Linked DNA regions of Pelodiscus sinensis. The protein of the gene in region 3 purifies or fractionates together with the protein of the main gene of each other region. This does not show direct contact. Links are inferred from orthologs where the notes say so. Each region holds a gene or a part of one and is shown on either strand. Other genes may lie near its edges.

The links.
Region 1: the proteins of LIN28A (region 3) and DDX28 purify together in Homo sapiens (co-immunoprecipitation; 3 studies listed by BioGRID and IntAct, with this or other methods). This does not show direct contact. The link is inferred for Pelodiscus sinensis from reciprocal best matches to the Homo sapiens genes LIN28A and DDX28.
Region 2: the proteins of LIN28A (region 3) and DHX36 purify together in Homo sapiens (affinity purification with mass spectrometry; 3 studies listed by BioGRID and IntAct, with this or other methods). This does not show direct contact. The link is inferred for Pelodiscus sinensis from reciprocal best matches to the Homo sapiens genes LIN28A and DHX36.
Region 4: the proteins of LIN28A (region 3) and RBM28 purify together in Homo sapiens (affinity purification with mass spectrometry; 3 studies listed by BioGRID and IntAct, with this or other methods). This does not show direct contact. The link is inferred for Pelodiscus sinensis from reciprocal best matches to the Homo sapiens genes LIN28A and RBM28.

What each region holds. Positions count from the first base shown.
Region 1 is NC_134722.1:36,993,874-37,001,297, reverse strand, and holds DDX28 (putative ATP-dependent RNA helicase DDX28), read left to right. Parts: upstream 1-4,955; 5' UTR 4,956-5,034; coding exon 5,035-6,684; 3' UTR 6,685-6,921; downstream 6,922-7,424. Other genes in the region: DUS2 (tRNA-dihydrouridine(20) synthase [NAD(P)+]-like), read right to left, coding at 2,361-2,486. UniProt on the Homo sapiens protein: Plays an essential role in facilitating the proper assembly of the mitochondrial large ribosomal subunit and its helicase activity is essential for this function. May be involved in RNA processing or transport. Has RNA and Mg(2+)-dependent ATPase activity.
Region 2 is NC_134720.1:28,816,597-28,823,754, forward strand, and holds the start of DHX36 (ATP-dependent DNA/RNA helicase DHX36), read right to left. Parts: upstream 3,001-7,158; 5' UTR 2,749-3,000; coding exon 2,548-2,748; intron 1-2,547.
Region 3 is NC_134735.1:1,938,665-1,946,679, forward strand, and holds the start of LIN28A (protein lin-28 homolog A), read left to right. Parts: upstream 1-5,008; 5' UTR 5,009-5,321; coding exon 5,322-5,352; intron 5,353-6,113; coding exon 6,114-6,298; intron 6,299-8,015. UniProt on the Homo sapiens protein: RNA-binding protein that inhibits processing of pre-let-7 miRNAs and regulates translation of mRNAs that control developmental timing, pluripotency and metabolism.
Region 4 is NW_027465922.1:770,819-777,920, forward strand, and holds the start of RBM28 (RNA-binding protein 28), read left to right. Parts: upstream 1-4,095; 5' UTR 4,096-4,126; coding exon 4,127-4,289; intron 4,290-5,450; coding exon 5,451-5,594; intron 5,595-5,895; coding exon 5,896-5,990; intron 5,991-6,388; coding exon 6,389-6,464; intron 6,465-6,873; coding exon 6,874-6,966; intron 6,967-7,102. UniProt on the Homo sapiens protein: Nucleolar component of the spliceosomal ribonucleoprotein complexes.

The DNA.
Region 1 (7,424 bases), on a different chromosome or scaffold from region 3:
AGGCCAGATTCAGGCCACGACTGTGCAGTGTCCAAGTGGAAACTCTGGGAATACTCCGTTCCTTTCATGCTTATATGCTGGTCAAAGCAGCCAGCTGTAGGGGCCATGTGCTTCTCTGAGCATTGCAAGCCCAGAGGGAGGTGGAGGGGGGGTTGCGTGTGCCTCTGCTCCCAGCATAATCTCGCAGCTCCAATTAGCCAGCAACTTCCTGGGCCATGTTTGTGGTACCTGCAGCGCTCAGAAGGCACCTTCCAGGGCTCACAATGCTCAGACAAACACATCATCCCCACAGCCACCACTCTGAGGGATGTGCAGGGGCATGGAAGGCACTGGGCTGCTGGCTGGGAGCTGCCCAGGTAAGTGCGTCCCAACCAGAACTTGCACTTTATACTAGGGATGTATGCGAGCAGTCAAGTCAACTACTTAACTACTTGCATCTCCCCACTTGCTACCTCTGTATCAGAAGCAGCAAGGGGTTGGGAAGCAGGAGCCGGTGGGCAGCCAGCTTAAAACCTGGCTCCTCACAACACCATCTCCACGGTGCTGCCTGCCCTCCTCCCACACTGGAGCAGCTGCCCCTGCCCCGTGCAGGGTGGGCGGGGCAGGGGTGGCTGCTCCACATCCAGCAGAGCAGACCCTATCTGCATCTTCCGGGGCTGTCCACGAACAGGAGCTGCTTCAGCAGCAGCCCCTGTCCTTGGGGGATTCCAGCTCCCCATTGGGACCCCCTGTGGACAGTGGCTGCTGGACCTGGCACAAGCTGGGACTGAGCAAGAACAGCTTGTGCTGGTCTGGGATCCATCCCCACTGCAATTCTGCAGTTTAAATGTAGTAGGAGCCAGGCTGCCTGCCTGCCTGCCCGGCTTATTCTATATTTAAACTGCAGAGGTGCAACAAGTGGTAACTCCGAGCATTCCTCCCTTATCGACTAATTGAGTAGTCAACAGAAATTCTATCAACTGCACGATTAGCTATTTACTTGCGTCTTAACATCCCTACTTTACAACCTCCCACTCCCCAATCTTCTGCTCCCCCATGATAGGTCATACCCCATACCCTCTGCACCCCCGCTCCTGCATCCATCCCTTTCCTGGACCCTGCACCCAAATCCCACCAAACTTCTTCACCCAAACTTCCTCCCAGAACTCACATCACCTCCTGCACCCCAACCTCCTAATCTGAGCTCCCTTCTGTACCCAACCTCCATCTCAGACCCCACACTTCCTCCATTAATATCACTGCAGATTGTGATCCTTGATCATTTACCAAATCCTTGGGTAGAGGTGGGCAATGATTTTTATGAGGGGCCGGCCATTCCAAGCACCCAAGACATGAGTCATGGGGGTTGCTCTTTGGCATAGGCTTTCAGCAAGGACTGCAAACCTGAAAGCCCAAGGTTTGCAGCCCCACAGCCCCAAGCAGTTGACAGGCCAGAAATGATTTCAGTTACCAACCAGAACGGGGCAGGACAAGATGTGGCCCAGGGGCCGGATCCAACCTGCCTAACACTTGGATTTGGCCCCAGGACTGTATCTGGTTGCTTTGTATTTATATTCTGCTCCCTGTGCCACCAAATTTCCAGGAGGTGGCTCAAGCAGCAAGATCCCATGGCTCGTGGCTTCCAATTGCAGTGCTACCTTGCCAGGGGCTGGAGCTGTGAGCCCTTTAAATAACTGCAGCAACCTTTGGCGGCTGCCAAGCAACGCGGTAGCAGCGGACCCGCGAACTGGGAGCCCTTTGATATGTTTTTAATTCAAAGCCTTCAGCTCCAAACAACTGGGGGAGGGGTTAGTCCCCAGGTCCCACCCCTTCCACCCTAGACCATGCCCCTTCTGAGGTGGAGCTGGCCTGTGAGCAGGTACCAAAATTCACTAAGTGGTCCCTGTGCAAAAATTATTGCCCACCTATGAACTAGAACTGCTGACAACAACTATTAATGCTATTACTGTAATACTAAAAGTATTACAACTAACACTATTAAAACTAAGGGAGCACTTGCAAACAAGTGAATGTTATTCCAATGCCACCACAGATGGTAAGAAGAAACTAAAGGAGGGCTGGGTCAGAAAGGTCATATATAGAGTGCCATAAGGGTGTCACTCTAGGGGGCTCCTCAGCCCATCTGATGAGGGCTGCTAAGGGAAAAAGTTTCCATTGTCCTTGCATGCACACTTGATTGGAATCGATCTGAACAAGCACTCAAAAAATAAAAGTCTACATATGAAAGTTTGTTGACCATACAGTAACAAGATTAATCCCTTTAACATCTATGAGGATATGCCTACTGAGAAACCAATATTTTTCATGTTGTCATCACATGGTAAGAAAACAGAGCCTCCCCATCGCCTTAGCCTTCATACCTCACAGTACACAATATCAGCACCAAAATCCAAAGCCAAAAGACGCATGGGTAATGTTCCAACCCGCACCATGGGAGCCAAAATGTTCTTGCCTCCAAAACAGAGTGCTGGAATGTTCACAGTCATTCCTTTTGTGGTATACTCTGAAACAAAACGCAAAACAAATGAGAGAAACATTTTCTCTACCAAGGGACATGTAGAATCAAAATTTCCTTCCCCCACAACCAATGAAATTCATGGGCTTTTTTAAAATCCACCATTTATTACTAAAATAAGTTGTCAGGTTGCTTTTTCATTCTGATAGAAAATGGATTTGGTTAATGGACGAATCCCACATTTTCTCAGATTATTTTATAAGGAATAAGGGTAATTTCAAAAGAAGGGGTTTCTTTTGACACCACCGCATCTCGACAGCATTTCTTTTTCTGAAATAGGGTTTTTCAAAATAGCGCCCGGACGCGATTATGCAAATGAAGCATGGGAAATTCAAATCCATGCTTCATTTGCAATTTCGCTCCGCTGCATTTGCATTCCTCTCAAAAGAGGATTGCAGCGTAGACAGACCGATAGAGTCCATATGGGTGCACATGACAAAATTCATTCTGCACATGGCCAATCTGTGGTGGGGATGGGTGAGGGGTTAGGAGTGTGGGAGGGAGCTCAGGGCAGGGGACTTCCATGATAGATTGCACCCTCAGCAAGTTTGCAGATGACACTAAGCTAGGGGGAGAGGTAGATACGCTTAAGGGCAGAGATAGGGTCCAGAGTGACTTAGACAAATTGGAGGATTGGGCCACTAGAAATCTCATGAGATTCAACAAAGACAAGTGTAGAGTCCTGCACTTGGGACGGAAGAATCCCAAGCATAGTTACAGGCTAGGGACCAACCAGTTAAGTAGTAGTTCTGCAGAAAAGGACCTGGGGGTTACAGTGGATGAGAAGCTAGATATGAGTCAACAGTGTGCCCTTGTAGCCAAGAAGGCTAATGGCATATTAGGATGCATTAAGAGGAGCATTGCCAGCAGATCCAGAGATGTCATTATTCCCCTTTATTTGGCTTTGGTGAGGCCACATCTGGAGTACTGTGTCCAGTTCTGGGCCCCCCACTACAAAAAGGATGCGGACGCATTGGAGAGGGTCCAGCGGAGGGCAACCAAAATGATTAGGGGTCTGGAGCATATGACCTACGAGGAGAGGCTGAGGGATTTGGGTTTGTTTCGTCTGCAGAAGCGAAGAGTGAGGGGGGACTTGATAGCAGCCTTCAACTTCCTGAAGGGAGGTTCCAAAGAGGATGGAGAGAGGCTGTTCTCAGTAGTGACAGATGGCAGAACAAGGAGCAATGGTCTCAAGTTGTGGTGGGAGAGGTCCAGATTGGATATTAGGAAAAACTATTTTACTAGGAGGGTAGTGAAGCATTGGAATGGGTTACCTAGGGAAGTAGTGGAGTCTCCATCCCTAGAGGTGTTTAAGTCTCGGCTTGACAAAGCCCTGGCCGGGTTGATTTAGATGGGATTGGTCCTGCCTAGAGCGGAGGGCTGGACTTGACGACCTTCTGAGGTCTCTTCCAGTTCTATGATTTTATGATAAGGGGATGGTTGGATGAAATAACATGATCTTGGTAACTAATTGACCATTCATTATAGGGAACTTTCTGGGTGTCTGGCTGGTGAGTCTTGCCCACATGCTCAGGGTTTAGCTGATCGCCATATTTGGGGTCAGGAAGGAATTTTCCTCCAGGATAGATTGGCAGAGGCCCTGGAGGTTTTTCGCCTTCCTCTGTAGCATTGGGCACAGATCACAGCTGAAGGACTCTCTGCATGTTGGGGCCTTCAAAGTATTTGAAGGCTTCAATATTTGAGACATAGGTGAGAGGATTATTCTAAGAGGGGTGGGCGAGATTCTGTGGCCTGCACTGTGCAGGGGGTCAGACTAGATGATCATAATGGTCCCTTCTGACCTTAAAGTCTATGAGTCTATGGGGTGGTGGTGCAGGGTCTGGCAGAAGTCAGGGTACAAGAGGGGGCTCGGGGTTGGGATACGGGGTCTAAAAGGGGGACTGAGGCAGCTCCCGTTTGGTGGTGGTGGGGAACGGGTGGCCCCCTGCTGCCCCGTGCTCCCCTAGGAGTCCTGGCCAGCGGGAGCCGCGGGGTCAGCGCTTCCCGGCGCTCTGAGGGAGGCTCCCGCCGGGCGGAGGAGACAGGGCAGCGCTAGGAAGCCCCAGGCGGGGCGGGCCCAGAGCACAGGGACGTTCCAGACGGGGACGCGGGGCTGCTGCCCTGCAGGCGGGCCAGCGCCGATCCCAGCAGGGAGCCCCGTGGTAGGCAGCGGCGCAGCCCAGCGGGAGCCCCGGGGCAGAGGGAAGGCCCCGGAGCGGACTCGGTCCCCGCGGGACAGCCCGGGGGTGGGGCGGAAGGATCCCTGGGCGGCTGAGGAGAAGGGGCGCGGCCCAGGGAGCAGCAGCGACCGTGGAGAACCGGCCCGCGCAGGGATCCTCAGGCTGGAGCCCTCCGGCTAACCGCCCGCTCACCTGCCAACGGCACCTCGCGCAACTCCTGCGGCAGCCACCTAGGCCGGCTCGGCTCCCAATGCGCATGCGCCCCTCCCCGCACTCGTAGCACACGTCATCGGAGGGCGCCTCTTTTCCTTTCCCCCACGTGGCCGCTGCGCTGCCGGGATGGCGCTGCGCAAGGCCGGGGCGCTGGTGCTGGGCTCCCGCCGGGCCGCTGCCGAGCCGCTCCTCCTGCTGCGCTGGGTGCAGGGCCCGGCGGGCGGTGGCGGGCAGCCCCCGGAGAACGTGGTGCGGATCCCCCGGGCCTTGCAGCTGCGGCTGGCTGGGAAGCCGCCCAGGCGGGGCCGCGGGGTGCCGGTGGTGCCGGCCCGGGCGGGGCAGTTGCTGCTGCGGAGCCGGCGGCCGCAGCTAAGCCAGCCTCGCTGCCTGACAGTGGGGCGCTGGGAGCGGCCGCTCCTGGTCTCGGCGGGCTGGAAACATCGGCGCTCGTGCGGGGACTACTTCCAGCTGGAGCGCTCCCACAGCCAGGCACCGGCCCTGCAGCCTTCCCTGGCCGACCGCGGGGATGACTCCTTCCAGGCGCTTGGGCTGGAGCCGGCACTGGTGTCGGCCTTGCAGGCTCTCTCCATCAGCCAGCCCACGGTCGTGCAGCGCCGCTCCATCCCTGCCCTGCTGCGCGGGGGCAATGCGCTGTGCGCTGCCGAGACGGGTAGCGGCAAGACTCTGGCCTACCTGCTCCCCCTATTCCAGAAACTTCTGGCCCGGCCTTCACTGGGCCCATCGTGGCCACCCTCCCCTCGTAGCCTAGTGCTGCTGCCTTCCCGGGAGCTGGCGGAGCAGGTGCGCACAGTGGCCGCATCTCTGGGCCGTCCGCTGGGATTACGGGTGCGGGAGATTGGTGGCGGCCGGGGCATGGCCAGTGTGAAAAACCAGCTCCGTTCCGATCCTGATGCTGATTTGCTGGTGGCCACGCCTGGGGCTCTGTGCAAAGCACTGCGAAAGAGGATGGTGAAACTGGAGAAGCTATCCTGTCTGGTGCTGGATGAGGCTGACACCTTGCTGGATGTCACTTTCTTGGATCTCGTGGAGGAAGTGCTTATGCAAGCCCCTATTGCCCACAGTCCCAAAGAGGTGGCTGGCCAGTGGGACACCAAAACCCAGCTAGTGATCGTTGGGGCAACCTTCCCTGATGGGCTAGGACAGCTGCTGAGCAAGTTCACCGACCTAGGCCGCTTCCTCACCCTCACCAGCAAGAACTTGCACCACCTCCTTCCCCATGTCCAGCAGAAGTTCATCCGCATCAAAGGCAGCGACAAGGTGTCTGAGTTACTTCAGCTCATCAAAAACCCTGGTCCGTCTAGTGGAGCCATTCTCGTCTTTTGCAACAGTGCTAGCACAGTCAATTGGTTAGGCTACATCCTAGATGACCACAAAATCAAGCACCTGAGGCTACAGGGACAAATGCCTGCAGCGATGAGAGCAGGAATTTTCACTACCTTCCAGAAGGGAGAAAGGAATGTCCTTATCTGCACTGACTTAGCCTCCCGTGGACTGGATACCAGCCATGTGGAGCTAATAGTCAACTATGACTTCCCTTCCACATTACAGGACTATCTCCATCGTGTGGGGCGAGTTGGACGTGTGGGGAGCAAGGTGCCTGGGACAGTAGTTAGTTTTGTAACCTATCGTTGGGATGTTGATCTGGTGCGGAAGATAGAGACTGCAGCCCGGAGAAGGACTAGTCTCCCTGGAATGAAGTCTGCCATTAAGGAGCCTTTGCCTGAAACAGACCTGACTCAGGCTGACAAACAATGAAATTGTAAAGCCCAAATTGGATTTAGGGTGCCTTCTATTGAAGGCCAAGTCTGCTAAACTTAATTTTGTGAGTGAGAATGGGCAAAGAAACAACATAACGAGAGTGTTCCTGCTTGGTTAGTTACTGGCAGGTGCACACATGCATATCCGGATGAACTAATACTTCATGGTTTTCTAAATCTCAATAGATGTAATAAAATCCACAACTAATAAATAAGTTTCCCTTCTGTTTAGTAAGGGCTGTGTTGCATTTATTCTGCTCCTGAAATCTTGACTTTTCATTTCATATAAACAAGGCATGACTTGAAGAAAATAGGTATTCATGTGGATTTAATATAGTACAGGAGAAGATATCAGTGCATAATAACTAGTCTCCATTATCCTCAGGTAGGCAGTGATTATTACATGCAACTTATTTAAAAGTTGCAGAAATAATTGATTCCTTTAGAATGTTAATATACTTTTTTGAATACATTATTTCATGAGTGTAGATGTTTGACTTGATTATTAAAATTAAGTCCTGTGTATCCACAGAATAGGTAAAACAGCTTGAAGGAATGCATACTTTCTAACTTTGGTTTGTTTTCTCAACCTTCATGTGGAAATACTCAAGTTTGAAAGTAACTTTGTTTTGAGGTCTTTCAGGAAAGTTGAGACCAGCTGTTTCTAAGGGAAAGTTACAACATAAAATAGGAAAGGAAAATATCTCTCAAGCTTGGTTTCTACATCACTTTTAGGTT
Region 2 (7,158 bases), on a different chromosome or scaffold from region 3:
TCTCTGCACCTGTGGAGATGTACAAATATTACAGAGAAGCATTATCAGAAATACCTGTATTGTGGCATACAGTACTTCTCATAGCAGAAAAAAGCAACCCTGATAATTCTCAGTTTTTCCTGATACTGCTCTTTTTGTTGCTGCTGCAGAAGTACAGGAGCAAAGACCTGATCCCCCATTTCTTCAGTGGAGCTTTTAAAAATGGGGATGAAAAAATAGCACAAATATGAAAAGTGTTCTCCCATGCTACCTGCTCCTGGTTTTAAACATTTAGCTTTCAAGACACAGGAGTCCTTCCTTTAGGGTTTTCTGGAGTTTGCATGACTATCTGGGGGAGAATGGCTGAAAGAAGAAAAGTTTGAAGTAGGGATGGGATAGTGTCTGTCTGGGCTCATCAGTTAACCTTCATAGTTACATGCAAACCACACACCCCCTCTCCTGCTGCTGTATCAAAGGCAGCAGCGTGGCATGCATGGGGAGCCAAGCAGAGGCAGCAGCGGGGTGGGGAGGAGGGCTCCCTGCGCACACGGGCTCCTGCAGAGTGGCTTCCCCCCACGTGTAAATGTGTAATTGGTGAATTTTTTAGCAGTAACATGCTTATTAAAAAAACCTCCTCATTTTAACATCCCTAATCCAGGTTCAATGATCAGCAAAATGAATATAGCATGTCATCTCTTAGATAGGTTGTTTTCTACAGTGAAGGGTGGGTTTTTTGCGGTAGGGAAAGTCTAGCAAAACCTTTAAAACTATATTGTCTGCTTCGTGTCTCCAAACTTTTCATTATACATATTTTCAGAACATAGATTAGTTTCTTCCATTCTTGCCTAGAATACTCCAAGTGAGATATCTTGGAGTCATTGTGGATAGTCCCTGAAATGTGCAGTTGCAGTTGAAAAAGTACAATGTTGGAAATCAGTAAGAAAGGGATACAAAATAAGACAAAAAATATCATATTGCCTCTATATAAATCTATGGTGTCCCCACATCTTGAATAGTGTATACAGATGTGGCCACCTCATCTTAAAAAATAAATACTGGAATTGGAAAAGGGTCAGAAAAAAGCAACAAAAGTGATCAGGAGTATGGAAAAGTTGCCATATGAGATGAATACTACTGGAACTTTTCAGCTTGGAAAAGTCATCACTGAGCAGGATATGATAGAGCTCTATAAATTCATGACTCGTGTGGAGAAATTAAATAAGGAAAAGTTATTTACTCCTTTCCATATAATGAGAACTAGAGATCATCAAATGAATTAAGCAGCATGTTTAAGACAAAAGGAAGTATTTCTTCACACAATGCACAGCAAGTCTGTGAAACTCCTTGCTAAAGAATGTTGTGAAGGACTATAACAGGTTTCAAAAAAGGGCCAGAAATTCATGAAGAATAGGTCCATCAATGGCTATGAGCCAGGATGGGCAGGAATGATGTCCCGAGCCCAGTGGTCTCCAACCTTTTAAAGTATGAGAGCACTTTTTGAAGTTAAGTGCAATCTAGGATCTACCTCAAACCCAAATACCTTTGTCTCACCTCCTTTGGGCCTCTTCTCCAAGGCCCAACTCCTGCTCACTCCATCCTTCCTCCCACCCCCATCCTTCTTCCCTTTCATCAGGCAGGGGCAGAGGGTTGGGATGCAGGCTTTGGTCTTGGACTAAGGAATCTAGAGTGTGAGAAGGGCTCTGAGCTGAGTCTGGGGCAGAGGTTGTGGGTACAGGAGGTGGTTCGGAGTAAGGCTCTGTAAGGGAGCTTGGGTGGGTGGGGGTGCCGCTCAGGGCTAGGGTAGGGTTTTGGGGTGCAGGAGGGGGTACATGACTGGGACAGGGATTCAGGATGCAGACTCCAGAGGGACATTGCTTACCATAGGTGGCTTCTATGTGGTGGTGCAGTGAAGCTAAGGCAGGCTCACCTCTGCCCTGGCCCTGCACCACTCACAAAAGCAGCCAGCAAACGCCCTCCATCCCAAGTCCTGTTGTCAAAAGCAGCTCCACACCCCCATTCTGCGGAGATAGGGGGAAAGCTCTACGGCAAAGGGCAGGAGTTGCACAGCAGTGGGGAGAGGGGCAGCTGAAGTGCCTGCACTTGACAGCCTCCTGGCCAAACCAGTCAAAATCACCTGTCAGAGGCTCCAAGATCTACTGGTAGATCACCACTGCCCTAGCCTCCATAAGTCAGAAGCTAGGAATTCCCTGTTCATTCCCTCTGTGATACCTGGCATTGGCCACTGTTGGAAGACAGGATGCTAAGCAGTGGGACCCTTGGTTTGACCATGCCTGTCTGGCAGGCACCTTGCCATGCACCCAAGAAAGCTCAATGATCAAGAGCTTTCTTTACCCACACAGTGGGGGGAGGGGTCTGACTGCAGTATTTGTGCAGCAGTTGCTGAGCCCATGCCCCGAGGGGCTCACAAGTGAGTTAGGGGTGCGCGGGTGCATGACCGAGAGGCCACACAACAGTAGCGGACAATGGGCCCCTCGCTGCCAAGGAAACGTCCCGCGGGCCAGAGAAGAGACGGAGCCCGGGCGGGGGAGGGGCCTCGGCGGCCTTTACCTGCTGCCTCTCGGCTTCTTTGCTTTTCTGGCCCTGCTTCCGCGCGTACCACAGCCCGATGTCGCGGCCCTTGAGGTGACCGGGATGCCGCCCCCGGCCCCCGCCGCCGGCTCCCCGGCCTCCGTGCCCCCCCGAGGAGGAAGAAGGCCGAGGCCCGCCTCCCCCTCCACGGCTCCAGTCCCTGCGGTGCTCGAAGCTCATTCTCCTCCGCTCGGGTCGCCGCGCGGGGCGGGGAGCAGCCGCTGAAAGCCGGCAGCAGTGCGTGGCGGAACCGGAAGCCCACCGGCTCTTTCCACGCCTCACTTCCGGTCCACCCCCCAACGACTCTTAGGACGCCGGCGCTTCCCTATGACGGTTGCCATCACGTTCCTGTAGGTGTGTGAGCCGGGCACGCGCCGCCTCTTCATTCCGGGGGCGGGGCGGCGGTGAACGCGTTCCCGGAGGCCGGCTGCCTGCCTGGTAAGAAGACAGACCCGGGTTCTAGTCCCGGTAGCACCTAGGCGCCCCCTTCTGCTCCGCGAAACGTCGTGGTTGTCTCACCAATGAGCTCGTTAAGCTGCCATGACGCCCGTCCACTGCTGCCTTCATAGTGCTGTGCTTGTCAACGTGCGCAAGGCAATTCCTGCTGCAGGACCTAGGAGGACAATCCTATCTACCTCCAGTGTTAACTCTGAAACCTACAGATTACACGAGTGTCCAACCTTAGCAGTCAGAAGAGTGTGAAGTGTGGTGGTTCCTTCAATCCCATTGCTAGTCCTGTGGCTGATAAGAATACTTAGGGCCCACTTGAAGTACTGTTTGTGTCCTATGTCATTAGAGTGTGGAATGTAGGACCCACTCTAAGTATCTTATCAGCTTCATTTAGCAGGGACAGGTTGACAATTTTGTTCCTTTCCACTCCCTCTCCCCTTTTTTCATCTTCTTCCCCTTCATACTCTTTCTGTGCTATTGATTTGAAAACTGAATCCCTTAAACTCCATTCATCTGAAGAAGTGAGTTGTGCAAACAAAAACGCATGATACAACTACATCTCTAATTGCAAACTAATGGTCCTTATATGCTTCTTTTAACTAGCCGGTTTTTAGATGATCCGTTTTGCCTGTTACATACCAGCTCAGTTTTCCCTTTGTTATGTCTAGACTGCAAGCCTCTTTCAAAAGAGGCTTTTTCAAAAAATACTTTTGAAACAGCTTCTTTAGAAAAAGAGCATCTAGACTACAATCAGTACTTTCGAAAAAGCAAGCTGCTTTTTCGAAAGAGAGCACCCAGGCAGTCTGGATGCTCTCTTTCGAAAAAGCACAGTTTGTATTACATAGCGCCTTTTTTCGAAAGAGCACTTTTGAAAAAAGGTGTTATTCCTCATGAAATGAGGAGTACTGCTGTCGAAAGAAAATCTGCATTCTTTCGATTTAATTTCGAAAGAACGCGGCTGTAGTCTAGATGCAGGTGAAGTTTTTTCAAAAAAAGGCTACTTTTTTCAAAAAAAACTTGCAGTCTAGACACAGCCTTTATGTATATACCAACTACCTCCTTTTGTTCCTCCCCCCCCTTCCCATTTTTTTCCTTTCCCTTCCTCTCTCTCCCTATTCCCACTATTTATTTTGGTTTTGGTTATACAACATTCCAGTCAGCTGAAGAAATGGCTGTGCCCATGAAAGCTCATGATGCCATCTACAATCATGTTTTGTTAGTCTTTAAAGTGCTACCATACTATTTGTTGTTTTTTAAGTTTATCTACATTTTTGTTAGTCTCTAAGGTGCTGCAAGACTATTAATTATTTTTAAAGCTTTTTCAGTTACAGACTAACACAGCTACCTCTCTGAAACTGAAAATATAGAATAGGTCTGATAGATTTAGGACAGTGGCTTTGAGGGGTGCCACTTTATCTGGGCAATAAACAGCATACATCTAGTTCATCATATTGTCATAACTGATCTTCTATCACACTGGGACGTGTCATGCACTACTTAGCAACTCTTGGTGGAAGAATAAACATCCCTAAAAAAGAAGGAAATTGAGAGAATTCTTTAATCAGGCATGGAGAAACTTGTCAGGGAAAACAGCAAAAGCAGATATATTCTGCTTGGGTAGCCTTGCTGTTAAAAGACGTTGGCTGATGGAAACAGAATGATGACAAGTAGTCCTGTAGCACTTTAGACACTAACAATATATATATGTGCGCGCGCACACACGCACATATATACACACAAGGGATGTGAACGACTAGTCGACTATCTGATAAGCAAATGCTTCCCTCCCCCTTGCTGCCTCTATCAGAAAGAGAAAGTGGGGAGGAGGAATAAAGGAGGGGTGGTTCAAAGCAGCAGTGCCGCATGGAGCTTGGAGCTAGACTTTGGGCTCCGTGCAGTGCTGCTGCTTTGAAATGCCATGTGCACCCCGGGGCTAGCCCATGTGGTATGTGGCGTTTCAAAATGGCAGGAGTGCATGGAGCCTGGTGTCATCTGACTCCGAGCTCCATGCGACACTGCCGCTTTGAAATGCTGTGGGGAGCATGGAGCCTGTGGGGGCCTGAGTCTCCCGCTGGCCCTGTGCTCCCCGCAGCACTTTTGCCTTTGAAATGTAGCAGCAGTCCTGGGGAAATTGTGTTGACTATTCGATTAGCCAATTAATCTAAATTTAACGTCCCTAATATACACATACATAGAAATTAGAGAGAGAGAGAGGGTGTATCATGAGCTTTTGCAAGTAAAGCCCACTTCCTCAGATAAGCAAGGTGGAGAAAAAAAGGGGAACTTCACAATTTATAACAGAAAAAGATGGGAGAGGGGAAAAATACCTGTCACTTGTGGTGCTGGTGCTAATGAGGCTAATTGAGTGGGCTGGAAGTGTCCCATACTTAGCTATTGATGTCAATTGGGTGTTGAATATAAGTTCATGTCTTTGTTCAGCGCATGAGAAATAGTGTCAAATTTGCACGTGAAGGCCAATTCCACAGTTTGTAGTTGGTTTTTGAAGCATAATGGCTATCTAAGAGATTTATTTGGACAGTTTAGGTCAAACAACTTGGCCATCTCAGCTAAAATCCAGGCTCAAAGCTTTGGATGGGGTACTTGTCTTTACTTTTAATATACATTTCTGACTGTCTATGTTTTAGAGAAATATTCTGTTCAGACAGCTAATGTCAACTTAAAGATTTCCAAACGTTTTAAAACACTAACCCATTTCTGATTTTCCATATAGGTGACACACCTTGCTGTAATATTGTACAAAACCAATGTTCCATTCCCAGAATAGTTTTTCAGGGAGCTATCCTGTCAGAGGTGACAACTTTTGTGAAAGATAATCCATGCCCCATAGTTAGAAAAGATTTCAATATTACTTTGCACAAGAGTACAGGTATTAATGCCAGAGTCATCTCTAAATACAAATATGAGCAGTTACATTCTACCATCTTCAAAATATGCCCTCTAGTTTCAACTGAAGATCTTATTTACACTTCCCCTTATTGAGGCTATTAATATTATGAGTGTGGAGGAAGGAGCAGTATGAAATGTAATTCTCTGATTTATTGTTAAATTATAAATCTTATAAAAATATCATGGCTCAGGATGGATGTTTCTATTATATTTTTAATATTCTATCTACATTTAAGCTACTAGTTCTGTGTGGATTGCTGCTTTGTGTAGTATATTTTATCCAAGCTCTCTGAAGTGTTAAATTCATCCTTTCAGATTATTAGTCTTTCACTGTTCATTAATGCTCCTTTTGTTGCCTTGAGTAACATTGTGATGCTATAAATGGCTCTTGGATCTCATTTCTCTGCAGCATTCTTTGCCTTTTCTGTTTGGTTGTCAGTCTTTCACTCTTCACAATGTATGTTTTCTTATATTAGTTTAAAAGTTATCATTCTGATTCTCCAAAATACCAGCTGTCCAGTGCACTAGTTTCCCAATTTGTTCCATGTTAACAAACACCTCTTAAGACAGGTCTGTTCTCATAGACTAATTTTCCTCCCTAATCTCAATGCTACAGTTTACCCTTGCCTAATCTTACAATTCTAGCACTCAGTTACATAAAATAATAGTGAGACAGCACTCTGAAAACAAGATGAAAATAAACCAGATACATAACGGGGGCATCTGGCAGTAGCTGCTTGATTACATAATTCACAAACAGACAAATTCATAACTGAATCCTTCTCTCTCACTCTCTTTTAATGGTTCATGTTTTACATTGTGATGGAAACAACTCTGGACACAATCTATAAATGTTGCTTTCGTGATTTTAAAAATTATTGGAGCACTGGGTTTGAGAATGCGTCTCTCTTTCCAGAGTTCTTATAGCCATATATCCCTTTAACTAAAAAGGGAATCTTTAAAAGGGTAGTAGGAGTGTTCAAAGTCATCACTGTACAAACTTAGTACATTTCATACATTTCCCCAGTTTCTGTATGTAGTTGTTTTCTGTGAAGTCCCAGGCATGCAGACAACAGGAGCAAGAGCTTTTCCGGCCCCACTACAGAACTGGAAGCAGCCAACTCCCTCAATTTTAAGATAGATTTTAAGGACAGGGATGGAGGGGGTCTTTGCAGACCTTGCCTCTGAAGATTGTATTTGGGGAGGGGCCAGCCAGTCATCTTAGATGATATT
Region 3 (8,015 bases):
CTGAATGGCCCCTCCGGTCCATACTCAACAAGGTGCCCCCTCTGTTCACTCAGGAGAAGCTCAGAGCGGGAGGGGGGGATATTTCCCCCAAAATAGGCCCTGGGCAAATCAAACAAGTCACAAACTCCCCTGCCTCTGGAAGTTTATTGCCTCTGAAATCTACTGTAACCCCCACCCTGCTCCTGACTCTCTGGGTGTGTCTGCAGGGCAGGGTGTATCTTGAAAAAAGCTATGCAAATAGAACTACGTCAATTGTGTATCTTATTTCAAAATAGGGAGTGTCTACACAGCACTGATTTCCAAGTAGAGCCCTCTTCCTCGACTGCCCTTCTGCCTGGCCATGAGGGGTTCAGGCGTCGGAGTAAGAACTCCTCCAGCTTGACAGTGTTTTGACACTGTTTCGAAATAACTGCCGGCTGTGGCTATGTCTACATTGCACTGATGTATCAGAAAAAGGTATGCAAATTGTGCCCTGCATTTTGGATACCTTTGTCCAATAGTTTTTTCAGAAGAGGCTTTTCTGAAATTTGGGCCATCTACGGCTGTGTATAGACTGCAGGGTTTTTTCGAAAAAAAGTAGCCTTTTTTCGAAAAAACTTCACCTGCGTCTAGACTACAGCTGTGTTCTTTTGAAATTAAATCGAAAGAACACGGCTTTTCTTTCAATGGCGGTAATCCTCATTTCACGAGGAATAACGCCTTTTTTTGAAAGCGTTCTTTCGAAAAAAGGCGTTCTTGAATGCAAACAGGGCTTTTTCGAAACAGAACATCCAGACTGCCTGGGTGCTCTCTTTCGAAAAAGCGGCTCACTTTTTCGAAAGAAGAGGTTGCAGTCTAGATGCTCTCTTTGGGAGAGGCTTGCAGCCTAGAGGTAGCCTACACTGGGCCAAATTTCGGAAAAATCTCCTCTTTCGGAAGAGCCCTTCTTTCTGGCGGGAGGGGGAAGACAGGGCTTCTGAAATCTCTTCCGCTTTTTTTGTTTTGTTTTGTTTTTGCGGAAGAGCAGACCCGTTCCCTGGAAGCCCTGTACCAGCGTAGACACAGCCTGCATAGCCGAGGAAGTCATTTCGGAATAGCGTTGCTGTGTCGACGTACCCTCTGCTGGGGAGGTTTGCTCCCGCCCCTGGGGCTGCATTTCTCCCCCTGCTGGGAGAGTTTGCAGCGGTTGCACGGGCAGCGGGGTGGCGCTTGCCCTTCTGAACCTGCCCCGTGTGTCCTTCAGCCGACAGACGCGGCCAATTATCAACGACCCAACTGGTGCCCATATTACAGCGGCGGGCGGCCCAGGGACTCGATCCATCGGATCCTCTCCTCGTTCAGGGCGCGCCTCAGCCTCACGGGGAGGCCCCGAGAGCTGGCCGCGGAGCCGAGCCCGCCCCACCGGCGCCAGCCGGTCCCTGCCCACGGGCGCTGTCCCCGCCGGCTGCAGGCTACCCGGAGCCGCCCGGGCGAGGGGCCCAGAGGCCGCAGCGCCCCACCCAGCGCGGGGAATGTCTAGCGCCGAGCGCGGCCCAGCGGCTTTCAGCACCAGGGACAGCGGCAGGCGGCCGGAGCCCGCGGGCCAGCACCCTGGACAGCGCAGAACCCCCCAGTTAGGGCGGGACTGACTTCCCCCTGGAGCGGGGCGGCCGGAGGGCGCTAGCTCGGCCCGCGGGCAAAAGGGACCGCTGGCTCGCAGCCCCCGCCCCCGCCCCGTGCCTGCCCGGGGTAAATCCGTGGCGAGGCAGGAGCCGAGCTACGAGCCAGAGACCGGCCTCGCGGTCGCTCGCCCCCCGGCAGCTCCTGTGCGGGGCAGGCTGCAGCCAAAGGGCTCAGCGAGGGGCAGGCGACAGCGGAGACACCCCCGGGGCGGCGGGTCCTGGCGCACAGGAGAGGGAGCAGAGGGACAGCGGCCCATCCGGACTTGGGGGGCTCTTTCGGGGGGAGTCCTGCCAGCCCGGGCGGCACGGCCCCGCGCAAGCCTCTGAGCCCCGGTTCGGTGCCTGCTGGCTTTGGGGCCCGCCGGGGAGGAAGGGCAGGAGGAGGTTCCCCCACCCCCACCCCCTCGGCCCTGCGGAGCTTACAGCTGGGTCGGGAGCAATTGCTCCGCGTGTGGGGGGGGGGGGGGAAGCGCTGGTTGGTCTCTTCCCACCGCAGCTAACCCCGAAAGCGGCGGCACCCGCAGTCCTGCAGGTTCCGCCGCCGCTTGGCAGGAGCTGCCGGCCCGCGGGGAGCTGGCTTTAAGGATCCGGCTCAAATGGAAACGCTCCCTTGGGAATGAAGCGGACCAGGCTCGGGCCGGAGCTGGCATTTCCTGGCAGGCAGGAGTGGAGATGGGTGTTTGGGGTGGGGAGGGAAAACCCTTCTGCGAGTGTTGGGGGCAGCGCTGGAAGCAACGTAACAAGTCCCACCGGCCCTGTCCTATCGCAGCCCGGTCCCTCCAGCGCTTCGCCTGGCTCCCTGCGGGCCTTCTGCCGCTCGGCCAGCTCTTGCCGGAGCTGCGTACCAGGGCGCACCCGCTTCCTTTCACCTCCGCTCCGACCCCCCAGGGAGGAAGGGAAAGGTCCCGTGCGGGCTCGGGTTTGCAGGCAGCCAGGGGCCGGCGAGGCAGGGTGGGGGGACGGGGCGGATCGATTGCAACGGTGCGTCCGCGTGGAGCAGCCCCGGTGTAGACCCGAGACTGTTCCCCGCCGCTCTCCAGAGCCCCCCTTCCAAAGCCGCGCGTGGCAGGTGCTTTGTTGGGGGATCCGGGTCCGGGGGCACCCGAGGGGGGACCTTTGCCTGCTCGGCCATCACTTGGCCCCGGGGCGGGGGGCAGGGCCTGGCTAGGAGGCGCTGTCCCTTTAAAAGCGCAGCGAGCGGCACTGTCCAGTCCGAGGCGAGCGCCGGAAATGGAGCCGAGCCCGGGCGCCGCGCTGGTCACTCGGCCATTGTCCGGGGCCAGCCATGAAATCGCCCCCCGGGGGGGCTGGAGACACCCACCCCTCGAAGCTCGGCTCCCCCCGCCCCTCCCAGGCGGGGCCTTCGGTGCCGGAGGCAGCCCCTCCCCCCGCCCACCCCTCCCCTCCCCCCGGGCAGCCTCAGCCGGCGCCCCCTCCCCCCAGAGCCAAATGGGTCATTTCCGCTCCAAGTCTGTGCGGGCAGCGAGGCGGCCGGAGCGAGCCGGGCGCTCCCAGGGCTACGGGAAGCGCCCCCCATCCCGGCGCAGGGGGCGTGAAGCCCCGGACCCAGCATTTCCCGGGGGGGGGCGGATTTCCCAGCCAAGAGAATCCCTTCTCCGGTGCGCGCCCCCCCCCGAAGGGTTCCCCCTCCTCTGCTCGCCTTGCGCCCCCCCCGTCCGCCTCTGCCCCCCACCAGCCCGGAGGGGCTGAGCGCCGAGTGGGGTTGGGCCCACTGGCCCCCGGGGGGGGCGTTTCAGGGTAACCGGGGGTGTCGCTGGAGCCGCGTGGCTTTCTCCGGCGCTTTCACACGCTCGGTCCCCGGGTCCCGAAGTTTTGCTCGGCCCGCCCCGATCTGCCCCCCTCACCCTTTGTTCCCCAGCCCCGGGAAGGGGGGACCGCGTCGCTCGCTGCCCCGCACCCCCCCCCCCCAACCAGCCGCCTCGCGGCCGTCTCTGCCCCTCCAGCCCGGGGCCTGCAGGAAAGCGCCGGGCCGGTTCGGGCCGGCCAGGGGGCTCCGGGGGACCCGCTGCCCGGCCCCAGCGCAGGTGGTTTCGGATGAGTCCCTGGCGAGACCCGCCCTGCCCAGCTGCCCGCCTGGCTCCGTCGCTTTCCGAGTCGCCCCGGGCTCTTGCAGGAGAGGATCCCCGGCCCCTGCGCTCGGGCACGCCGCTCTCTCCTGGGGGGGAGCGGGGGAGGCGCGGAGGGGAGACCCTGCGAGGCGGGCTGGGGCGGCCGCTCTCATTGTACAGAGGTCAGCGAAAGTCCTGCTGATCATCTCCCCGCCAGAGGAGGCAGAGAGGCTGGGGGAGGGGTCGCAGTGGCCGGGGGGGGGGGGGTAGAGCGGAGAGCAAAGGGGGCTGGGGGGAGGCACAGTGGCGGGGGGGGAGTAGCGTGGATAGCATGTGACCTGGGGGGGTTGAGCAGAGAGCAAAGGAGGTTGGGGGGGGTCTCAGTGGCCTGGGGGGGAGAGCAGAGAGCAAAGGAGGTTGGGGGGATCACAGTGGCCTGGGGGGGAGAGCGGAGCGAAAAGGGGGTTGGGGGGGTTACAGTGCCCTGGGGGGTAGAGTGGAGAGCAAAGGAGGTTGGGGGGGTCTCAGTGGCCTGGGGGGGAGAGCAGAGAGCAAAGGAGGTCGGGGGGGTCTCAGTGGCCTGGGGGGGAGAGCAGAGAGCAAAGGAGGTTGGGGGGATCACAGTGGCCTGGGGGGGAGAGCGGAGCGAAAAGGGGGTTGGGGGGGTTACAGTGCCCTGGGGGGGAGAGGGGAGAGAAAAGGGGGTTGGGGGGTTACAGTGCCCTGGGGGGTAGAGTGGAGAGCAAAGGGGGTTGGGGGGTTACAGTGCCCTGGGGGGTAGAGGGGAGAGCAAAGGGGGCTGGGGGGGTAGAGCGGAGAGCAAAGGGGGTTGGGGGTTACAGTGCCCTGGGGGGTAGAGCGGAGAGCAAAGGGGGTTGGGGGGTTACAGTGCCCTGGGGGGGAGAGGGGAGAGCAAAGGGCGTTGGGGGGGGTAGAGCGGAGAGCAAAGGGCGTTGGGGGGGGGGTTGAGCGGAGAGCAAAGGGGGCTGGGGGGGTAGAGGGGAGAGCAAAGGGGGCTGGGGGGGTAGAGGGGAGAGCAAAGGGGGCTGGGGATCCATTTTTTGCCTCGACAGGTAGTTTCTACCGGGGCTTGGCCCACTGGGGGGGGGGGCTGTACTCGCAGGGTGGCCTCCCCCCGTTAAAACAAAAGCCCCTCTTGGAATGTCTAATTATTGAAGGGGGGAGCGTGGCGGACGGAGAGGGGCGAGCGAGACCCCCACCAGGCTAACCCAGAGCCCCCCCCCCCCTTCAGCAGGGGGCTGGAGCAGGCAAAGGGGGAAAGTGAAACGAACCAGGCCGTCCCGCGGCAGGGCCGAAGGTGACTCCCCCTCCCCACCCCTGGGAGGGGAGAGCTCGGGGCGGAGGGAGGCGGGGGCGAGGCTCCGGGGGCTGCTATTGTCTCTTAGAATTTGGGATCCTTTGAAAGCCCGTGGGCCCTCCCACCGCTATTGTTGGAGTGAAGATGTAGCGAACCTCCCCCTCCCCTCCGCTCCGCTCGGGCTGGAATCTCTTTTGGGGGCCGCGCCGCCGGGACACCCTCCGGGCTGGCTGCAGCGAGGAGGCGCGGAGGGGGAGCCAGGCACGCCGGCGAGGCTCGCGGAGGGGGTGCAGGATGGGCTCTGTTTCCAACCAGCAGTTCGCAGGTTCGGTGCCGCTTTCCCCAAAACTTGGCGGGTTGGCCGCTACCCGAGAGGAGCCGCGCGGGGGGGCGGCTCGGCTCGGGGGAAGGACCCCTGGGCGCAGGAGAGCGGAGCGAGCCCCCCCCTTTGACGGCGGGGAGGGGTAGTAAATAAACCCGGGGCCGGGCCGCAACATGTGCTTCGCTCCGGGGCCGAAGTTGGGGGCATTTTTAAAATCCTCTCCAGGTTGGGTGACTCGCAGCGGGGGGAGTGAAGCGTCTTTCAAAGGCGAGAGCAGCTGGATCCGGGAGGCGCAAACTTTCCCGGGGGGGGGGGCGGTTCTCTTTGATTTGGCCCCTTTGGCGGGGGGGGGGGTCTGTGGCTCTTGGATCGACTGGGGGTGACTCGCCCCTGGCTGCCATCCGCAAAACAAGACACCCCAGAGGAGACTGACCCCCCCGGCGATCACTTGGGGGGGTCCCGCGGGCCGGGTTGGGGCTTGGCGTTTGATTTGCTCCCTACCATTGTGAGGTGGCTTTAGGGGGGGACACCCCCCAGCAAAGGGGCTGGCTGTTTCTCCAAGGCGGGCGCGGAGCCGGCTGGGCAGCAGCGGCCAGGGGGGGCTCCCAGGGACTCGGGGGGTCTCCCGGGGGGAAGGGCAGAGGCGCCCGAGGGAGGCTCGATCATGCGGCCAGGCGCCAGGCGAAGCCCCAGGCCCGCCGGATGGCGAAAGCGGCCGGGCTCCCGCGCCCCCAGCTGAGCGCGTCTCGCGTGTATGGTTCCAGGTGGCTGCGCGAAGGCGGGCGAGGAGCCCGCGGGAGACTCCCCCAAGCCCGAGGGGGACTCGCAGCCCCTGCACGGCGCCGGGATCTGCAAATGGTTCAACGTGCGCATGGGCTTCGGCTTCCTCTCCATGACCAGCCGGGAGGGCCTGGCGCTGGACCCCCCCGTGGATGTCTTTGTGCACCAGGTAAGGCCGGGGGCGGGGGTCTGCGAGGCCGGTGCCCCCCCCCCCCCCGGGGGTTGCGCCCTCCCGCCGGCCCTAGGCAGGGCGCCGGGCGGTTGCAGGCCTAGGGCGCAGGAGGCTCCCGCCCGGGCAGCGCTCTGGGGCCGCTGCCCTGCGTGGGGGGCCGGGGCGTTCCCGCCCCCGTCCTGGGGCAGCATTCGGGGGCCGTTCGGCTCCTGCCCCCCCCCCGCCAGCTTCATCCACCTCACGGTGGGGGGGCCCCGGGCCTCTTGGAGTTTCTGGGGCTTGTGATCGTTCCCCTCAGTCCCGTTCGCGGGGGGCTGGGAGCCGGGGCGGGGGCTCCCTCTGGGGAGCCTGGCTCCAGGGGGATTTCTGCCTGACCCCATTGCCGCCCACAGTGGAGCTGCCAGAGGCTGGGGGGCTGCAGGCAGACAACCTCCTGCTTAAAGGGGACCCCCGTGGGGAGGGGCAGTGGAAATGCCCCAGGCCTGCTTGCATTGGGGGAGGGGCAAGAAGTGAGCTGAGATGTGGGGGGCCAACCCATTAGCTTCTCTAGAAGTCGGGTTCCCACCCCCCATTCTCCATGTCAAGATGGTTTCATCCCCCTCCCCGTGCTCCACCTATCCCGCCTGGGCCCAGCGATAAGGCCCTTCCAGCCCTGGCCTGTTTTCATTCCGTCCCATCAAGAGGACCTGGCTCCAGGCCCCACCAGCCCCTGGCTTTTAACAATGGGGGGGGGGGGTTGGCAGTGCCCACACTGAGTGAAAATCCGTCCCTGTTGCGGTGCAGGGCTTTGTCCTACAGACCAGGCACATGGGTTTGGAGAGGCAGATCTACGCCTGCCAGGCACCGGGCCCTACTCCGGCCGCTACCTAGGCTGAGATTGTTTCTCTTGGACTAGAGAGGCAGAAAAAACCTAACCTCCCCTCCCCCAAGACGTTTCCCAGCCATGCTATCGAGGGAATGGGGTGCAGGGGGTGTGGAGCAGGCCAGGTCTGGGTTTGCATCTGCATGTAACAGGCTTATGAAACCTGCTGTCCAGGCAAAGGCCAGCCTAGGGAAATGGCCGTTGGCTTGTAAAAGGTCCCTGCGTGTGAGGGCCAGGGACTCCGGTAGCCTCAGGTCACGGCTCATGGGGCACAGAGGCAGGAGAGGCTCGGAGAGCCAGGGCCGAGCTCCCAGGGAAGTCAATGGGACCGGGGTACTTTGCTGAATCAGCACTCGCACCGCGGCATAGGTGTGTGTGTGGGGGGGGCTCTACTTTGCTTAGGGTGCATCTCCCCGGCAAGGGGAGGGGTGATTGGCACATGGGAGGCGCACCCGGCTGCTCCAATCTAGCCATGCGGGGTACCAGCTGTACTGCAGATGCAATGCACAGGCTGGCAACCAGGGTCCCCACTCGGCTTACCCTCTGGAGGCTAGTCCGTGCCACCACAAGCCAGCTAGATTCAAGCTAGCACTGCCCCCATCCCCCGCCGCAATCCTGCAGGGTCGGCGCCTTCTTGGAGCCGCTGTCTGTCTGCACCATCTGTGTGCTGGTTCTGCACCTTTCAGAGGCCTTAGCCCCCCTGGGATCAGGGGGAGCCAGGGTCAGCCCCTTCTGCCCGGCCAGTCTGGACAGTGTCGGTTGGCAGTGGGGCTGGTTGAAGAGGGATTGTTGTGGCTGGTGTGAGCAGCGCGTAGGCAGTTGATTCCGGGGGAGCCCCAAAGAAACAAGACT
Region 4 (7,102 bases), on a different chromosome or scaffold from region 3:
CACGCTGCTCCCACCCAGACCCCGCAGCTCCTCCCTGCCCTACTCTCTGGCAGCCCTATGCCGCCCACCGAACCCCTCACTTTTGTCCCCACCCCAGAACCTCAGGGGGTTCCATAAAATCCACCAGAACAGAACGTCTGGCCCGTGGGAAGCCCCGACCCTCAGTTCTCCCTGCCCCCCTCACGCCGTGGGGCTGGATCGCCGGAGGACTGAGGGTCTCGCTTGGGGGCCGCCTCGGTGGGGGTTGGGCGTTTCGCTTTTGCTTCTCACTCGTGGGCTCCCCAACTGATTTTTCGGTGGCTCTACGACCCCTGACCCTTGTGACATGGGGGGGGCTGTCTACGCCAGTGGCCCTGGGCCCACGCCGGCGGGGCAGGCACTGGTGGCCGTGTTGGGCTGGGCTGCCCCCTACTGGCCCGTGTCTGTAGCACGGCCCGGCGAGGGGGGGAGGGGGGGGGGGGCTGAGCATCGGCATGTAGACCATGACCAGCCAAGGTTTCTCACCCGGCCAGGGGAAGGGTTTGAACAAAGGAAGGGGCGCGGCGACCTGGGGGGATGGGTGTTGGGTGATTTTTGGGAAGGGGCAGTTTTTGGCTGGGCAATCATGAAGAGATGAGACTAAATCCAGTGGGGGGGGCTCAGGGGCCTGTGGACCCCACCCCAAGGGGTCTGAGGCTGCTGCCCCCTTACTCCGATATCCACATCGAACCCGGGCTGGGCTGCATCTCAGAGAAGCAAATAAACCTTCTACTCCACTGGCTGGCGGCGGGGCCAGCTGGACAGCTGCCCAGGGCACCAACCTATGGGGGGCGCCTGATGGCGGCTGTAAGGGGCGCCGCGCCCCCAGCCACGCAGTGCCCCTTAGAGCTGCCATCAGGCACCACACGCCGGATTGCAGCTGTCAGGTGTGCAGTGCACCGGGGGCAGAGCCGCGCCTGCATCGTGTGTTTGCTGCCCGGGGCGCAAGACTGGCTCGAGCCGGCCCTGGCTGGCGGAGTCGCATCTGGCTACGGACGGGGGTGCAGGGTCGGGGGGTCTCGGACGCGCCGGGACACCCCACATAAATAACAGAACCATTGAAACCTTTTGTGTTGGACGTAAATGAGTATTGTATGAAGTTTGATAAAGGAGCATAGAGTGTGAAAACACTTAGTCGGTGTAAGAATCGAAATGAACCCGTTCTCCCTGGCGGCCGCGCCAGCAAATGGCTGAGGTATAATTGTGAGTTTCCATTAGCAACTGGCGGTCCATGGAGAGGTTTCCATTGAGCCGGGGGTCGCTGAAAGAGAGGTACCCCGGTGTGACGGCGCGTTGGGGGTCCCCCGTCTCCTGCACCCCGAAATGGCACCAACAGACTGCACCAGCCGGTGGAATAGAGGGAGTTTATTGCCTCTCCAGGATACAGCACAGCACAGATGTAATCTGGTCACAGAGCTGGGCTAGGATGCCTCAGCCCCCCTTGAGATGGGGGAGACCGGGCCCCTAAACTCCAGCCCCTTTCCCTAGGCTGTCTCCTCCATGATTCCAGCCAGCAACTAACTAACACTCCTCCAGCCCTGCCCCCCAGCCAGGGCAGCATCCACCTTCCTTTGTTCCTCTCCATGGGGGGTGTCTGGCCATAGTGGTTTGCATAGTGACTCATCCTGTTTTGCTGGGTCGTGGTACCCACGGCAGCCAGTGGGGGTTACCCCAGAGCCAGCAGCATAGAAACCAGCCAGGTACCCCCACTACGTCACACCCGGCCTCGCCCCCCGAGAGACCTCCCCCGACCTTCTGTTGCTCCAGAAGAGCCCACAGAGAGAGCGCGGCTGTTACCACAACGTGAAATCACCGTGTCGCTCTGCTGTGGGTGACGGACGGACTTTCTGTGAGTTTTCCTCATCCAAGCAGGTGGTGATTTTAAACAGGGTGTTAAGAAGCCAGGTGAAAACACTCGGTGCATCCCCAGAGAGGCAGGATGTATCGTCTCTCTCCGGAGGGGGTTCTCATGCCTTGTGTGTGGATGAACAAGCCCTTTGTGAGCTCGGAAGAGGTAAGACGTTTTGACTTCCAGCTTCAAGGGATTTGTTCTTCTGTCTTTGGGCTGCACGTTGCCGAGACCGGAATGGAATTGGCTGTGACAACTCATTTGGGAGCTACTGTGACACAAGTTGAAATCTGTGCTAATGACCCTGCGGCCAGTGAGAGAAAGCGCTGCTGTCACAAGAAGTCAATGCAAAGTCTCTGCAATTTCCTTCAAAGATCGCTACCAGGCCGTGGGGCTTTGACTGACGGGTCCCTTAGATTTGTGATGGGTGACTAAATGTTAACTGGATCTTCTTGGGCAATATCAACAGATTGTTTAGGGCCCAATCCGAGCTTAACATTTAAATCGGATCAGGCCCTTTGTTAGCAGTCTGGGAAGTGGTCTCGTTTGGCAATTATGATTAGATATTATTTACATAACTAGCCAAGAGCCCATCATAAGACGGGATTTTGGGGTCTCTCCTCCACGTCTCTCTCTCTCTCCTCCACCTCCTGCATCCCCCCCCCTCTCTCTCAGCTCTCCTCCGCCTCCTGCCTCTCTCTCTGGGTACGTCTAGACTACTTGCCTCTGTTGCCAGAGGCATGTAGATTAGGCTACCAGACATAGGAAAACGAAGCGGCGATTTAAATAATCGCCGCTTCATTTAAATGTACATGGCTGCCTCGCTGAGCCGACAAACAGCTGATCAGCTGTTTGTCGGCTCAGCGCGATAGTCTGGACGCGCGGGTGTCGACATCAAAGGGTATGTCTACACTACCCCGCTAGTTCGAACTAGGAGGGTAGTGTAGACATACCCAAAGGTATTTGTCGACCACCCAGGTATGCCTCCAGTGGCCGTTTGGGCTCTCCCACGGCGGCCCGGCTGAGCGGCGCAGAAGTCAGCCAAGTGCCACGGCAGGAGGCGAAGGATGTGACTCAGGCAACAGCGCCGCCCAGAGGGAACAGCCAGCATTTCAGCGTTACAGAGTCACAGACATTGGGCTACTATCTATATGATACAGGTACTGCCATCATGGTACCGACACAGACATATCTCAGTAGCTTTACATATAAAATAGCCCAGCCCCATTGACCTCGTGGGCAATGTACCATGCAAACAATGGTGGGGAGGGTTAGTTACAGGGTCCCCTGCACCCCGTAATTGGCATGGGTCGTTTAGTATTGTCGTTCTGGCGTGTGGAAACGGAGAACACTTGATAGTTTTGCAATAACTTCAGAAAATGCAGTTGCAGGACGTCTCACTAGGGATGTAAATTCTCATTCATCAGTTACCCGGTTAATATCAGGTCACACCGGGTCTGCCCCGGCTCCCAGCCTGCTCCGGCGCAGCCCCTGTCCACAGCAAGCGGGACCCTTGGAGAGAGGCTGCTTTGGACACTGGCGCAGCCCGACTGTGGGGCCCAAGAGACAGGGGCTGCTCCGGAAAAGAGCCGCCCCTGGCTGCAGAGGGTCCTCTGAGGGGCGCAGCAGGTGGGGAGCCAGCCCCCTGCGAGGCACTGTTAAGAGGACGAAGGGAGCCGTCCCATGACATTGTGGGACCGTTCCGGATGATCCCCAGGCCCCGAGGCCAATGGGGCGGCATCTCCCTGCCAAGTAACAGGGCTGAGACCCTGGACCCCTCTGGGATGGAGGTTGGGCCCCAAGCGCTGCAGCGTCTGGGGCCTGGGTTAATGCAATTGCGGGACAGCTGCATGGGGGGCTCCTATGGGGCCCAACCCATCCCTCTGAGGAGTTCTTGGGGGGGGGGGGGAGGTCACATGACACCCTTTGCTTCTGGCCATGTGTTCATTTGACCCCAGAAGTACTACCCCAGGGACCGGACTTCCTGTAGCAGGTGGGCGGGGCTTGTGGGATCAGGGGCGGGGCTAGGGTGTCAGGGGGCGGGGCTAAGGTGTCCCTATTTTTTGGTCATTATTGCCAGTGGGTGAAACTGAGGTCAAAGTTCAGGCCCGTAATGCCGGGCTGCCCCCCCCTCCCCCCCCAGCCTGGGCACAGCCCCGCCCCCCCCGCCCAGCCTGGGCACAGCCCCGCCCCCCGCCGGAACCCAGCGGCGGCCCCGCGTTTCCGGCCGGTCCCCGTTCGCGGCCGGACCCGGCCAAGATGGCGGCGCCCAGCGGGCGGCACGTGCGGGCCGGAGCCGGGGCCATGGCCGGGCTGACGCTGCTGGTGCGCGGCCTCCCCCCCTCGGCCCGCGGGCCCGGCCTGGAGCGGATCTTCGGCCAGCTCGGCCCGCTCAAGCGCTGCTTCGTGGTGACCCACAAAGGTGGGGGGGGGCTGGAGCCGTGGGGCGGGGGAGGTGTCGGGGAGGGGGGCTGGAGCCGTGGGGCTGGGGGGGGGTGTCGGGTAGAGGGGCTGGAGCCGTGGGGCGGGGGAGGTGTCGGGGAGGGGGGCTGGAGCCGTGGGGCTGGGGGGGGTGTCGGGGAGAGGGGCTGGAGCCGTGGGGCGGGGGGGGTGTCGGGGAGGGGGGCTGGAGCCGTGGGGCTGGGGGGGGTGTCGGGTAGAGGGGCTGGAGCCGTGGGGCGGGGGAGGTGTCGGGGAGGGGGGCTGGAGCCGTGGGGCTGGGGGGGGTGTCGGGGAGAGGGGCTGGAGCCGTGGGGCGGGGGGGGTGTCGGGGAGGGGGGCTGGAGCCGTGGGGCTGGGGGGGGTGTCGGGGAGGGGGGCTGGAGCCGGGGGGCGGGGGGGGTGTCGGGGAGGGGGGCTGGAGCCGTGGGGCTGGGGGGGGTGTCGGGGAGAGGGGCTGGAGCCGTGGGGCGGGGGGGGTGTCGGGGAGGGGGGCTGGAGCCGTGGGGCGGGGGGGGTGTCGGGGAGGGGGGCTGGAGCCGTGGGGCGGGGGCGGTGTCGGGGAGAGGGGCTGGAGCCGGAGGGCGGGGGGGGGTGTCGGGGAGGGGGGCTGGAGCCGGGGGGCGGGGGGGGCCGCAGGGGTGTCGGAAGTTGGGTGCAGGGGGAACCGGCAGTCGCTGTGGGGTGGGGGTCTAGTCTAGAGAAGGGGGGGGCAGCCGGATCCGTGGTGCGAGGGGCTGGGGCGCAAGCCTGAGGAAGCAGGAGCCGGGCGGGGGGGAGGAGAACAGGGTTAGCTCAGGGCAGGGGAGCTGGGTCTGGTGGGAGGGGGCAGGGCTGCCGTGGCGGGGGTGGGGGTCTGCACCTGGACGAGCTCAGGGGAGTGGGGGAGAAGGCGGCCTCTGGATCAGCTGGAGTCTCCCTGAGTTGTTTGGGCCCGGGAGGGGAGCGGGTCCTTGGCCTGGGGGGACCCTGCCCCCGCCAGGCCTCCTGTCCCTCTGTGGGCCAGGCCCTGGGCCGGTATCCTGGTTTCCTGAGAGGGGGCCTCCCCTGGGCGAAGCCTGGTGCCCTAGAAGGCCCCGAGCTCCCAGCCCTTTGGCAGAGCCTGGGTCTGTGGGGTGCCGGTCATGCTGCCCCTCTCTTGCAGGCAGCGAGACCTGTCGTGGGTTTGGCTACGTCACCTTCTCCCTGCTGGAGGACGCCCAGCGAGCCCTCCGGGAGGTCACCGCCTTCGAGGGCCGTGCCATCTCGGTGACCGTTGCCAAGAAGAAGCTGAAGGAGAAGCGGCCTGGTGAGTTGAGAGCAGCCTGGCTCTGTGGTTATGGGGCACCGCGGGCCACGGGCTCCTCTCTGTGCCCACGGCCTGTGTCCTTGGTTGTGACCTCTGGGGTGGTGATGGGACGGGGGTTCCCCTGCTGTGTCCTGACTCGTGCTGGGTGTGGTTTTTTTTTTTGTTTTGTGTTTTTTTGTTTTTGTTTTTTGTTTTTGTTTTTTGTTTTTTTTGTTTGTTTTTTTTTGTGTGTTTGTAAGTAAGGGAGCCGTGGGGCAGAGGCGCCCGAGCAGCCCTGCCATGCCGTGCTCTCTGTTCCCAGGTGCCCCGGAGACCCCTCCAGGGGAGCAGAAGCCGAAAAAGCCGAAAGGGCCCCCCAAGAAAGCCAGGCTGATCATCCGCAACCTGAGCTTCCAGGTAGGTGGGCGAGCGGGTGCCTGGCGCGCGAGGTGAGGTCGCAGCTGGGGGCGGCGCTGGTGCTGCCTGTGGCTGGTAGCCACAGCGGCGCAGCGAAATGGGGGGAGCTGGCATGTGACGGGCAGCCGCTCGAAGCGGGTCCCGGGGTTTGTAACCTGGCACCGGCGCTGCCTTTCTCTTGGCAAAGGGTGAAATTCGCGTCGGAGCCCGGCCGAGCCGCGCGTGGGCGCTAAGGGCACCCTCTCGCCCGAGGGGAGCCCCCGGTCCTACCCAGCTCCCCACGGAGGGAGGGTTCCAGCTGGCAGGGCACTAGGTCGGCCTCGGTGTGCTCAGTTCCCTGCGCCCCTCCTTGCTCAGCCCAGCCCCTGCGCGGCTCTGACACGGCTCCTTCTCCCCAGTGCTCCGAAGACGACCTGCGGGCTCTGTTCTCGCCCTTCGGCGCCGTGCTGGAGGTGAACATCCCCCGCAAGGCAGGTAGGGCTCAGCCGCCTGCTGCTCCGCGCAGGGCCAGTCGGATCCAGGCTGCCGCGGGGCGTGCAGGGGGCTTGTCCTGGCCTGTGGCCTCTTAGCCCCCAGCCTGTCGGTCAAGCCCCGTTTGCGACAGGTGGGGTGTGCTGCCCCCGGCTGCCGCCTCGTGAGCCCCTGTTGGGTGTGGGCTGTTCCCCGGGCCTTGCGCCGCGCCCCGAGCGCAGCGTCCCCCCACCCCCAGCGTTGCAGGAATCCAGGGTGGGGGGAGCTGCCTCTGCCCCCGCCCCCCAGCACTCCTAGAACAGACTAAGCTGCTGGGGCCGCAGGCTCCCCGAGCGTATCTGGGGGGGGGGGTGTGGAGCCCGGGGCTCCCCCCTCCTGGGCCCGGTGAGCTCTGAGCCGCGGTGTCTTGCAGACGGGAAGATGCGGGGCTTCGCCTTCCTTCAGTTCAAGAACATCCTGCAGGCGGGGAAGGCCCTGAAAGGGATGAACATGAAGGAGATCAAAGGTGAGCGGCCCCGTTCCTGGCCTGCCCTGCGCACGGGGAGAGTCGGCGGCCTGGGGGCTCTGGGGGCGGCTCGCCCGGAAAGAAGCTCGTGCTGGCGCTGCCGCTCGGTTCCGGGGCGTCCTGCGCGCCTGGCCCC